Danio rerio: one gene and its partners. The protein of the gene in region 1 binds, or shares a complex with, the protein of each later gene. Links are inferred from orthologs where the notes say so. Each region holds a gene or a part of one and is shown in the gene's direction. Other genes may lie near its edges.

Region 1 (4,175 bases):
GGGTTGCCAGATTCGTTAAATTAAATCTTTTGCTACGTGAAAAAAGTGTCTGAATTTAAAGCTGTATTATACTTATATTATCTCGAAACCCAATTAAAGCTTAAATATGACTATTATTGCTGTTTCTGTTAATTAAAGTATGTTTTTATTAATTTATTTACCTTTACTTGAGATATCGCCACGGGGTTGCCAGATATTTTAAAATTGAATCCACAACTGTGCATGAATGTTATTTTTAATAGAGAAAATATAATTACAAAGACAGAAGAAACTTTATATTATATTATAGTATATTATTTATTCATTATCTAAAATAAATAGTATTTTAGAGATTCACTGTAGTATAAAAAATACGTAAAAATTGTTTAAATTTAAAGTTGTATTATACTTTTATTATCTTAAAACGCATCTAAAACTTTAAATTTGATTATTATTGCTGTTTTGGTTAATTAAAAGTATGTTTATATTAACCTATTTACCTTTACCGTGAGATATTGTCACTGTAGGGTTGCCAGATACGTTAAAAATAAATCTATTCCTGTGGTTGTTAAATGCAGCTTTTTTTTTAAACTGGGAAAATATAAATAGAGTAAAGACAGAATAAAGCTTTCATTATATTATAGTATCTTATTTATTCATTATCTACAATAAACAGTATTTTGGAGCTTCACTTTGATATGAAAATGACACTACATGAAAAATTGTCTAAATTTAAAGCTGTATTATACTTTTATTATCTTAAAACACAAGTAAAGCCTTAAATATGGGTATTATTGCTGTTTTGGTTTAATAAAAGTGTGTTTTTATTAACCTATTTACTGTATCGTCACTGTGGGGTTGCCAGATACGTTAAAACTAAATCTATTCCGGTGGATGTTGAATGCTATTTTTTTGAATTAAGAAAATATAATTACAAAGAAAAAAACAGAATAAAGTTAATATTTTATTATAGTATATTTTTATTCATAGTCTAAAATAAATCATATTTTGTAGCTGCGCTGTGATATGGAAAAGATTTAAACATTTATGAAAAAAAAGTGTCAAAATTTAAATCTGTATTATACTTTTATTATCTTAAAACGCAATTGAAGCCTTAAATATGATTAATATTGCTGTTTTGGTTTTTTAAAAGAATGCTTTAAGGAAACTATTTACTGTGAGATTAAATTATTGTTGTTTTGGTTAATTAAAAGTGTATTTTTATTAACCTATGTACCATGAGATATCGAAATTGAAAAATACTTTTAAGCTATTATCATAATAAAAATTGTTGTAGCAACATTTAAAATTTTAAATTCGCTTTTGTATGTTTATAACATGCTTATAAATGAAATTACCAGCGTGTAAAAATATTCCGGTGATTTTGTTGAGTAATGGCAACCCTTCTGTCCTCAGAATTCTGTTTCCCTTTCACCCAGGAAGTGATTGTACCATCTCTCCAGTAGCGTCCTACATTCGTTTTGCGCTACAATTTTTTCTCATCTAGGTGGAGGATTTTCTCTCAAAGTCCACCGCCATCATGAAACTCGTCAGGTAATAAACATCTACAGCTGTCATACAAGTAAAATACACAAAGAAACTTTGCGGATGCGCGATGTATTTTAATAGATGGAGCCGGATTGTGTGTAGCTGCTAGTTAGCCGTTAGCTTCATCAGGCGGGAATGAATGAATGGGCGAGCGTTTGTTTGAACGTTTTACTCATTTGTTTTAAGCACATACGTGTTTTAAACTATGTAATAAGCGGGTTTAGTCTTAGATTATTAATACATTGTGCGTTTTTTGGTGGTAGTTTGATCATGCGGGGTCTTAAATGCAACAAATACATAAACAGAAACAATAACTGTTAATGCTAAGTTAGCTACATTTATTTACTAGTTTCTAAATATGCTAGCTGTATATAATCATATAATTATGTTAATAGACACTATAGTGTGTAGTTAGGAAGTCTAAAGATTATTGGATATATAGTTTATCATTTGTTTTAAATATAGTTATCAGTTTATTATCATTAGTAAGCTGTAAATACTTTATATAATCATATTGACAAAATGCTTTATATGTAGATATTAGACGTTATGTTATTATAATTGTTTATCATTGTTTTTATGATTGTGACCTGCAGGTTTTTGATGAAATTGAGCCATGAAACCGTCACGATTGAGCTGAAGAATGGCACACAGGTCCATGGCACAATTACAGGTAATTATTATTTTAAGTAATGCACCATAATCACATTTATAAACTGTCTGCTATGTGCCTGTTTCATTAAATGAGGTCATATTATGCATTTTCTCTTTGAATCTGATGCATTACATCTCATAGGTGGCCAATAAATGTGCTTATATTGAGGTGAAGTTGGTTTTATATTAGCAGGTTTAGACTTTGGCGTTCTATGAAATAGCAAAGCAGTATTTAAAAAGGTGAATACAGATTCATTATTTTTTACCACGCTGCTTTGAATATTTGATCTGAAATCACATATAAGAATGACTTCAAAACAATATTAGACCGTAAACAATATTGTGCTTTATAGTCATTTGGTGATAATATGATTCCCCTATTTAGTATTTGCAAATAATACTTTTCTGAAATTATATTAAGTCTGAATGTGTGAATATAAAAACAACTTTACCTCAATTACATCTGTCAGCTCCCGGAAAAAATGCATTTAACCTTTTAGCTGAAAATGACTTGACTTAATTGGATTGTTATGCAATACTGTGCACCTTTTATAAAGCTGCTTTGAAACACTAGTCATTGTAAAAAGCGCTATACAAATAAACTTGAATTAAAAAGACTCATTGTATATGCCCTATATTGTGCTAATAATAATAATTAGAAAACTTGTTATACTTTGTTGATGAATTAATGCCACTGAGTCAGACTCGTATTATAATAATCATGTGAGCAGAAAAACAATAGATCATGGTATTGTGTGAAAATTTACATCTTTACTTGTGGAGATTTTCAATTTTTAGACCAGTGATTCCCAAAGTGGGAGTCGGGACCTCCTGGGAGGTCGTGAGTCCTTGAGGGGGGGTTGCTTGGTGATTTCCAATATATACATATAAATAAATTATTAAAATTACCATATTTTATCCATAACCTGCAGAAGATAGTGTTTAATAGTTACATTTAAAACAAAAACATGTACATAAACAGACAGCAGCGTTTACATTATTTTTCCATTGGATTACGACTCCTTGAGTGATTACGCTAGATTAATAACACAGCAATAGTGTTAGTTGCAGCAGATTTATTTTACGGCTCAATGTTAAACTTTGACACATTTACAGCACTCCTGTACATTAAAAATAAAGGCCACGACTGAACATAGAGGACGATCTCCAAGTGGCGGTCTCCGAAATTAAATCAAGAATAGACTTGTGCTGTATATATTTCACAATTCTCATTAAGTGAGGTTAATATTAAATTAAACAAATGAATAGTGACTATAAAATGATATGGTTGATAAACTGCTGCACTTTTGTTGTGTTGTCAATAAGCTTGTTTATATAGTTGCTATTGGTTTGTGTGTGTGCATTATTGTGTACAGTGTTTGTATGCTTATTACTAGGCCCACACTTATTTTGCGCGAGCTGAATTCCGCTGATGTTTAGCCCATCATTAATTCTGTTTATTTACTTGAGTAAATGTGTGTAAATCTATATTAATTCAGTTTTTACATTTATTTCAGTAATATTATTGACTAATATGAAAATGTTCGTCTGACTTATGTACAATGCAGTTTGTACCGTAATATTTTCTGTCTTTTAGTAGAGATATTATATGAGAGACTTGCTTTGTTTACCAAATAATGTGAATCTAATTGGATTAGCATTTTAAACATTAAATAAAAATTATATAAAGATATTTTTTTTTATGTCATATATTAAGGTTTTAGTTATGATACTCCCAAAATAATTCCGCAGATCTTTACCAAAACTCTCCGCAGAAATAGCAAAAAACGCCCGCAGATTCCATCTGGCCCTACTTATAACCACCTCAGAGGATAGTGGGGTTGTGAGTTACTAAAATTGTTATTTTGGGGGTCACGAGTTAAAAAGTTTGGGAACCCCTGATATAGATCATAGCAACTTTTCATTTCTTGCTAGTTGTAATACACAATGTAACTACAGAAGAATCAAGTGAGATGCTAATGGTCTAATCTGAT
Region 2 (4,108 bases), on another chromosome or scaffold:
GAATACAACCTTAGGCCTATAATGATTTTTTTTTACTCTGGAAGTGGAACAGTTACAGTATTGTCAAGTTTTACAAAAAATGGAAACCTATTGTGGAAGTGTACTGTGTTCTGTGTTTTGGTTTCCGATTTGGTCCGTCATTCCATCAGAGAGGAGATACTGGGAGATGGAAAAATTAATCAAGCTATAATCAAGCTATAAAACTCCAAATTACCGTGACAAATTACTGTGACATACAGTTTGGTAGCCTATATGATGCAACATTTTGACTGACTGACATGCCCTTTAAAAGAAAAAACTTGGGTAACACTGCTCTAATGTTACAGCCACAGGCTGTACAAAAAGCCAAGCCCCTCTCATGCTATCGATGTAAACAAAGTAGTAATCTGTTCAGATTCATCTTCAGCCTTAGTTAGTATAGCAAACTCAAAATCAGATAGAGAGGATTTAATAACAGAAATCTATTTATCTTTATATAGATTAAAGGAAATAGGAGTAGTCGTTTATTTCTGCTGGGTTCCATCACATATTGGGGTATCTGGTAATGAAGTTGCTGACAAATTAGCAAAGGAAGCACTAAATAAGCAAGAGGAAGTAAATGTACCTCTGGGGAAAAGAGAGGCAAAATCGATTTTAAAGGAAAAACTAATAAATAAATGGCAAATTAGATGGGATAATAGTAATACTGGAAGATGGCACTATAGTATTATACAGACAGTAGGGACAACACTAAATCAAGGAAGAAATAGGAAGGAAGAGGTGTGGTTATCAAGATTAAGATTGGGACACACAGGGTTAAATGCAACACTTGCGTTAATGGGTTTACATGAGGATGGGAAATGTGATGTATGTGGTGTAACTGAAAATGTGGATTATGCACTATTTATATGTAGCAAATATAATAAACATCGCAATATGTTATTCAGTCAGTGTGGGGAAGATAAAACAATATATAAAATTATTCTAGGAAAAGGTATAATAGATTGGCAAGTATATAGAGCGTTTATTAGGTATATAGAGTATTCGGATTTAGGTTATTATAGTCTTATATTTATGGATGAGAGTATTCTCAATCATTGTCATAAAGGCCCTTTATGTTAGAGGAGCTGAACACGCAGTGCTGACATGAGTATGTGGTCTAGATGCAAAGATTGGACAATATGAAACATCCAAGGTGTTTTTTTCCCCCCTTTCCCTCCCTCCTCGTTTCTTTTTGTTGCCCTTTCATCGGAGTAAGATTCGGTACAGTAGGTGGCGATAATGCTTTTAATTGTTAGTCGCCATAAAACAGAAAGAAGAAGAAGAAGAAGATGCTATCGATGTGTGCTGATATCGATTATCCATGCTTGTAATTGGCTTCCGGTCCCGATTATTCAGGTCTGTTATCAAAATGGCGGCAATCACAGCAACGAATCCTTCGCAGCTTTTACCACTCGGTTTGTTTCACTTTCTTTAAAATTGCTTATCATTTACTGACATAACTTTTGTGTTTTTGTACGGGGCAGAGATGCCAATCAGTCACGTTCGTAACTCACTTTGCTTTTTTATCTAATTGAATACACCTGTGCACAAAAGATGTGGCCCTAATCATGTCAATGTGTTTTTATTTTAACTTAAATATTTAATTTCACAAATTTATACATCAATGTGTGATTGATTATATATAAACGGAAGCCAGTTCATTTAGTTAGTGTGGGCGAAAAAAATAAATCACTAATATGTTTCCCTCTGTTGGAGTTTAAAATATTGTAATTATGACTTGGGAACACATTTATCATTAACAATTTCCATTAAGATGTATTTATAAGTAAGATACTCTGAAAATAAAATTTTATGTATGAGTTACGACATTAGAGATACCGTGTCAAATGATTAAAAGCCACTCCACTCTTTACTCGCAGGATTTTTTTGTTGTTGAGTCAAATAAGCCTAAAATTAGTACTTTAAAGAATGAATTTGGTATTAACATATTACTCAATCCCACACCTAGTGTTAAAGCCAAAGAAATTTTAAATTTTATTAAACGTGGTTCGTTAAAAACTTACCTTGGCTGTATAGTTGTTGAAGTAACGTTTAACATAAATTGAATTTCTTTACAAGGTTTTACAGTTGTATATCACACTGACCACTCAAAATGTTTCCTTTAACAGCCAATGATGTGACTGTGTTTATGATGGGGATTGTGTGCTGTCTTTCAGAGCTGGTGGATAAGTGCATTGGCTCTCGGATTCACATCGTTATGAAGAACGATAAAGAGATTGTGGGAACTCTGCTTGGGTTTGACGACTTTGTCAGTATCCTTTACCTACTGGCGGTAAAAAAATAAACAAAACACTGTCAAATATTTGTGATGTTTACAATTTAGTTTTGGATTCAACTTTTTTTTTTTTTTTTTTTTTATAAATACTGCTAGCTAAAGATATAGTTACACATAAGATTTCCCTTTATTTCCCTTAGTCCGTTTATTAATCTGGGGTCGCCACAGCGGAATGACTCGCCAACTTATTTAGCATATGTTTTACGCAGCGGTTGCTCTTCCAGGGTGGAAAATGGCATAACGGCAGCAATGGTTACTGAACAACAACGTTGTGGAATCAGTCTGCCTAAAGAATGTTCATTAGCCTGTGCTTTAGTTTTAGCATTTTAATATAAGAAAATGTCCAACAAAAGAACTCTATCATATTTACAGACTCCAAATCATGCCTCCAAGTGATGGAATCTTCAGAAAATGATCATCCTTTGATTAATGATATTATAACTAAAGTTCACCATTTACAAAACCATTTTTTTTCATATTTTTTTTTTTTTTTTTTTGCTGGGTTCCGGGACATGTTGGGCTTTCAGGAAACGAGCGAGCTTGATCCAGCAGCTAAGGATGCTTTGAAATAAGTTGTGAACGAATGCCAAATTCCTCTTTTAGAGATGAAATCTTTTATCAACGTTTACTTTTTAAATAAGTGGCAAGAGGAGTAGGATGCATTGAGAAATAATAAACTGTATGAAATACAACCTGAAATCTCAAACTGAATTTTTAGTCATTTTAAGACTAAATTTGATTTAGTGATTTTTACTAGATGTTGTATTGGACATGCAAGAATGATCCATGCTTTTTTTTTTTGCTCAAATGTGAAGACCCTGCTCAATATTTGCACATCACACTTTCTTTTACAGTAAAACAGATTTTACTGGATTGTCCTGCTTTTAACAATTCCAGAAGGCTTTTTTTTTTTTTTTATCAAATGATGTCTCTTCAGGACATTTTTAGCAAAATGACACCTGGAAAATAGTAAAAAAATTATAAAAAAATGTATTAGCATTTAAAGATGTATTTAATTTATGTATTCATTTGTTTTTGTTTTTTAATTGTATATTTATTATTGAAATGTTCTTGCCATGAAAATAGCCTTGCATTGCTGACATGGCATTAAATAAAAAAATACAATACACTACATCACATGTTGTCAACAGAGAAATGTAAATGTCTATGTAATGTTATCTTTGCGATGTTGTACATTTCCTTGATGCTTTACATCAGACATGGTCCTAGAGGATGTCACAGAATTGTAAGTATATTTCCTAAACAAAAATATTAAATATTTGCTTAATTGTCTTTGCACAGTGTATTCATGCATTCTCTTCTGCTTTGACTTAAAGGATAGTTCCCTCAAAAATTTTAATTGTCAACATTTACTCAACCTTCTATTGTTCTAAATGCTGTTCGAGTTTCAAACGATCAGTATCCTGTCTCCAAAATTTTAGGTGTTTGTTTTATTAGGATAAACTATCAATAAAAAAAGCACTTTCGTTCTAGAGATTAACTAAAGCTCAAGTTTTATACCATTAGACTATTTATACTGTATTCTAATTATTCTATAAACTATACTGCATAGAGAAGGCATTTTCTAATCTTTTTAGAAACTTTTTTTAAAGTATGCTTAGTTAGAAGTTCAATGGTATTAGCAAATTTTTATCACTATTGAAACCGTTTAATATTTTGTGACATTATTATTAAAGAATAATTCCAAGTATTATCATTGATTAAAAAAAAAAAAAAATCAATTGAATGTGAAGTGTACTTGAATGTGAAGTGTACACTCATGTATTCAAG
Region 3 (4,059 bases), on another chromosome or scaffold:
TTAATTTTGCCTTGTGTATGTGAAACGTCCCAAGAAAAATAATCAACTTCAAAGCATTACCGAGTGTATCATGGCCAGTTTTCAGTTTAAAAAAGAATCATGCATTCATCCAAGTTAATTATATATAATTTTATTATAAACTGAGTAAAAAATTAACCCTGAAACCAGTTTCCAAAAGTCGTCAATAAATGTACAAGCACAAAATAGATGTAGGAGACTTTCAGGTTTAAAACATTCTGATGAAATGTCTTTTTAAAATGTATTAATGAACAGATGGCAGGGATACCTGTGTAATATTTTCTTTATCTTTTTTAAATACATTTACTGTATTACAGAAAGATACATTTGGTGCACATCATTTACAATAATAATCATTAGATTATTTACAATGGTGCCAATAAAGAATGAAAAAGAAGAAAAAAGAAAGAGGAACAACCAACAGAAATCAAACAAAAAACAAAGAAATATCAATAGGCCATCTGATCTGAGGGTAGATATATAGATTTAAAAAAAATTGAAAGTGAAGAGGGCAAAATAAGAAGCAGCAATTTAGAGATTTAATTGATTATAAAGGTCGTGCAAATGGTATGCTTTGAGTACTTTCTTGTTAAGTGAATCTGGAACTGTAAGTAATTTTTAATCTCTTGTAAATGCTAGAAATGTTAGCTTGCAACTTGACATTGACAATATACATTTATGAACATAAAATCTGCATAAAGAAAAAGGTTTATTTTAAAGTAGACATTAAACTTTGTTATAAAAAACACCAAAAATGACTTTTGTAGTCACAGAAAAATGCTGTAAAGTAATATTTGGACAATTGCATGACCAAAATAAGCGAGGAGTTTCAGCGTTAATCTGACAAAAGGAGATATTTGTATCAAAGTATGATCCAAATCTTTTCTTTAAGACATTTTTGATAGGATAAATGTTATGTAATAATTTAAAAGATATTTCCTTTACCTTTTTAGTAAGGAAAAACTTGATGTATGGACCATATATTTCCCCAGTTTAAATAATCAAAAAGACCGTTTCAATGTGAGATAGCAGAAGGGGTAGAGTTTTCAAAAAACACAGCTCTTATTTGATAATTTTTCCTTTTTATTTAACCTTATTGGGGAGTAAATAAAAAATATTCTACTTGTACAATATTTCTCCACCATTTTATGTTGTTACCCTTCACATTTCTCCTAAACAACAGATGTCGCTACACATCTTTCCATCTGTAAGCGAGTGAATAAAAGAACCGTCGCGTCTATTGATCGTCATCCTCGTGTCCAATGTTTTCAAAATGGAGAGGTTGACATGCACGTAATAGTGAGCATGTTGATTTATTTTGATGGTCGTGCATAAAAAATAAGGCAAAGAGATGAAGTCAGACGCCGAGGAGTTGATGCCCAGACTCCTGCCAGTGGATTCCTGCGACACAGAGGAATATACTCTTACCGAGCCGCCTAGAAACCCTCAGGAATATCTCAGATTTGTCCAGTAAGTCTTTCGGCTATTGAGGTAAAGTTGGTTTAATATTCGCACATTCAGACATTCTCATCAATAATACAGTTTTAGAAAAGTATTATTTGCAAATTGTAAAGAAGGAGATCATATTAGCTGCCAATGACTACTAAAGTACAACATTATTCAGTCAATTAAACAGTACTTATGTTGTTAAACCCTACTGGAAAAAAAAAACAGCTTAAACCAGCCTAGGCTGGTTGGCTGGTTTTAGCTGGTTGACCAGGCTTGTTTGAGAGGGGTTATGGCCATTTGCAGGCTGGTTTCCAGTCATTTCCAGCCTGGTCTTAGCTGGGCAGGCTGGGAGATGACCAGCTAAAAACACACACACACACACACACACACACACACACACACACACACACACACACACACACACACACACTCACAGAGAGAGCGCTGTGGGGGAAATCAGAGCACCTAGAGGAAACCCACACCAACACGGGGAGAACATTAAAGCTCCACGCAGAAATGCCTTATGGCCCAGCCAGGACTCGAACCAGTGACCTTCTTGCTGTAAGGTGACAGTGGTTACCACTAAGCCACCGTGCCGCCCGTCAAGATTGTGGCTCTATGCTGGTTTCATACCTAGAACCTCATAGTTTGTTACCCAATGCTTAGCACGTTGAACTAATTGATCAAATTGGTAAAACTAGTGATCCGAAGGACAGTGGCACTAACAAAATATGATTTGGGGCTACACTTTAATGCTTTTGGCTAATAAATTACTATTACACAGAATAACTATTGTAAATATTGTTTGTAAAAAATGTTATTTTACACATTCTAATGCAACAGGAAAAACAAAACTACTTTAAAGCTGTATTAGCTTTTTCTTGTTGATGAAACTATGCTTGACTTTGACTCTTGTTCGATGAACATTATAGTAGTCAGCATTTTACAAGTGGATTGAAAACGCTTTTCGAAATTGTTCTAAGACAAGAGTGGGTGTTGTTCAATGGTTTTCGGGCAACTTTAATAAAAAGACCCTGTTTAAATATCGACTACTGTATATTTTACAGGAGGGAAGCATCTCTGTGTCCAGATGTTGTTGTGGCACAAATTGATCCAAAGAAGCTGAAGAAACAGTCAGTGAATGTGTCTGTAAGTGGGAAAAGTGAACTGAATAATCTGTTATAAATTCTGTAATGTGTAAAATAACTGTGCCATTATTTTTGCCTCAGATCACAGGTTGTCTTGCTGCACCTGAGGGTTTTTCACCCAGCTTTAAATGGCAGCAGCAACAAGTCAGCAGATTTTCAGAAGTCAGACAGGTGTTCAATATTAACCACATTAGTTTCTTTAAAGGGATAGTTCACACACAAAAAATGAATATTTACTCATTATTTATGAATGTTACTATTATTCAAGTGGTTCCAAATTTTTTCAAGTTTATTTTTTCTGTTGAGCAAATCCATTCATTCATTTTCTGCCGCTTTTCCGGGCCGGGTCGCTGGAGCAGCAGTCTTAGGAGACAACCCCAGATTTCCCTCTCCCGAGACAGTTCCTCCAGCTCCTCCGGGGGGGATCCCGAGGCGTTCCAAGGCCAGCCAAGAGACATAGTCCCTCTAGCGTGTCATGGGTCTTCCATGAGGCATCCTCCTGGTGGGACATGCCTGGAACACCTCCCTAGGTAGGCGTCCAGGAGTCATCCCAAACAGATGCCTGAACCACCTCAGCTGAGTTCTCTCGATGTGGAGGAGCAGCGGCTCTACTCAGAGCTCCTCCCGGGTGACAGAGCTCCTAACCCTATCCATAAGAGTGCGCCCTGCCACCCTTCGAAGGAAACTCATTTCGGCCACTTGTAACCGTGATCTTGTCCTTTCTGTCATGACCCAAAGCTCATGACCATAGGTGAGAGTAGGAACGTAGATTGACCGGTAAATCGAAAGCTTTGCCTTTCGGCTCAGCTCCTGTTGAGCACAAAAGAAGATATTATAAAGAATGTTAGAAACCTGACTTCCATAGTAAAAAAAAACAAATATTATGGAAGTCAATGGTTACTGCTTTCCAACATTTTTCAGAATAGATTCTTTTGTGTTTAGCAGATGAAAAAAAAAACAGGTTTTACAGGTTTTCAGCTTTGTTCAAAATAAAGGATGAGTAAATGATGACAACTTTCATTTAATATTTCATTCTGTCATCATTTACTCACCCTTTATTTTGAAGAAAGCTGAAAACCTGTAACTATTGACTTAGTAGTAGTATTTAGAATTTGTTGTTACTACAGTATTTCTTTTTCCTAATATGGAAGTCAGTGGTTACAGGTTTTCAACACTCTTCAAAATGCCTCTCAACAGAGGAAAGAAATTCATAAAGGTTGATAACCACTTGAGGGGGAGTAAATACAGAGTAAATGTTCTTTTTGGTTGAACTATCCCTTTAAGTACTTTTAGACTTTTTAGAATTTGTTTTTGTAATTTGTTTCATCCATATATTTCTTGTTTCAGAGTGTGAACAAGCATCGTCAGCATTGGAAAGCTCAGTTTTTGGATGATAATGTTGTCATGGTAGGACTTTATTTATTATTGGGCTTAAATTAAATCT

The links. The genes of interacting proteins can lie anywhere in the genome.
Region 2: snrpd1 (region 1) and lsm5 share a complex: the UniProt entries of both Homo sapiens proteins name them as parts of the U4/U6-U5 tri-snRNP complex. The link is inferred for Danio rerio from reciprocal best matches to the Homo sapiens genes SNRPD1 and LSM5.
Region 3: snrpd1 (region 1) and gemin2 share a complex: the UniProt entries of both Homo sapiens proteins name them as parts of the SMN-Sm complex. The link is inferred for Danio rerio from reciprocal best matches to the Homo sapiens genes SNRPD1 and GEMIN2.

The regions. Positions count from the first base shown.
Region 1 is NC_133194.1:2,232,883-2,237,057, forward strand, and holds the start of snrpd1 (small nuclear ribonucleoprotein Sm D1), read left to right. Parts: upstream 1-1,375; 5' UTR 1,376-1,519; coding exon 1,520-1,533; intron 1,534-2,123; coding exon 2,124-2,200; intron 2,201-4,175. UniProt on the Homo sapiens protein: Plays a role in pre-mRNA splicing as a core component of the spliceosomal U1, U2, U4 and U5 small nuclear ribonucleoproteins (snRNPs), the building blocks of the spliceosome.
Region 2 is NC_133187.1:13,906,748-13,910,855, reverse strand, and holds the start of lsm5 (U6 snRNA-associated Sm-like protein LSm5), read left to right. Parts: upstream 1-1,308; 5' UTR 1,309-1,390; coding exon 1,391-1,436; intron 1,437-2,198; coding exon 2,199-2,294; intron 2,295-3,535; coding exon 3,536-3,563; intron 3,564-4,108. UniProt on the Homo sapiens protein: Plays a role in pre-mRNA splicing as component of the U4/U6-U5 tri-snRNP complex that is involved in spliceosome assembly, and as component of the precatalytic spliceosome (spliceosome B complex).
Region 3 is NC_133192.1:14,292,587-14,296,645, forward strand, and holds the start of gemin2 (gem-associated protein 2), read left to right. Parts: upstream 1-1,259; 5' UTR 1,260-1,369; coding exon 1,370-1,488; exon of another isoform or gene 1,489-1,509; intron 1,510-2,534; coding exon 2,535-2,616; intron 2,617-2,696; coding exon 2,697-2,786; intron 2,787-3,962; coding exon 3,963-4,022; intron 4,023-4,059. UniProt on the Homo sapiens protein: The SMN complex catalyzes the assembly of small nuclear ribonucleoproteins (snRNPs), the building blocks of the spliceosome, and thereby plays an important role in the splicing of cellular pre-mRNAs.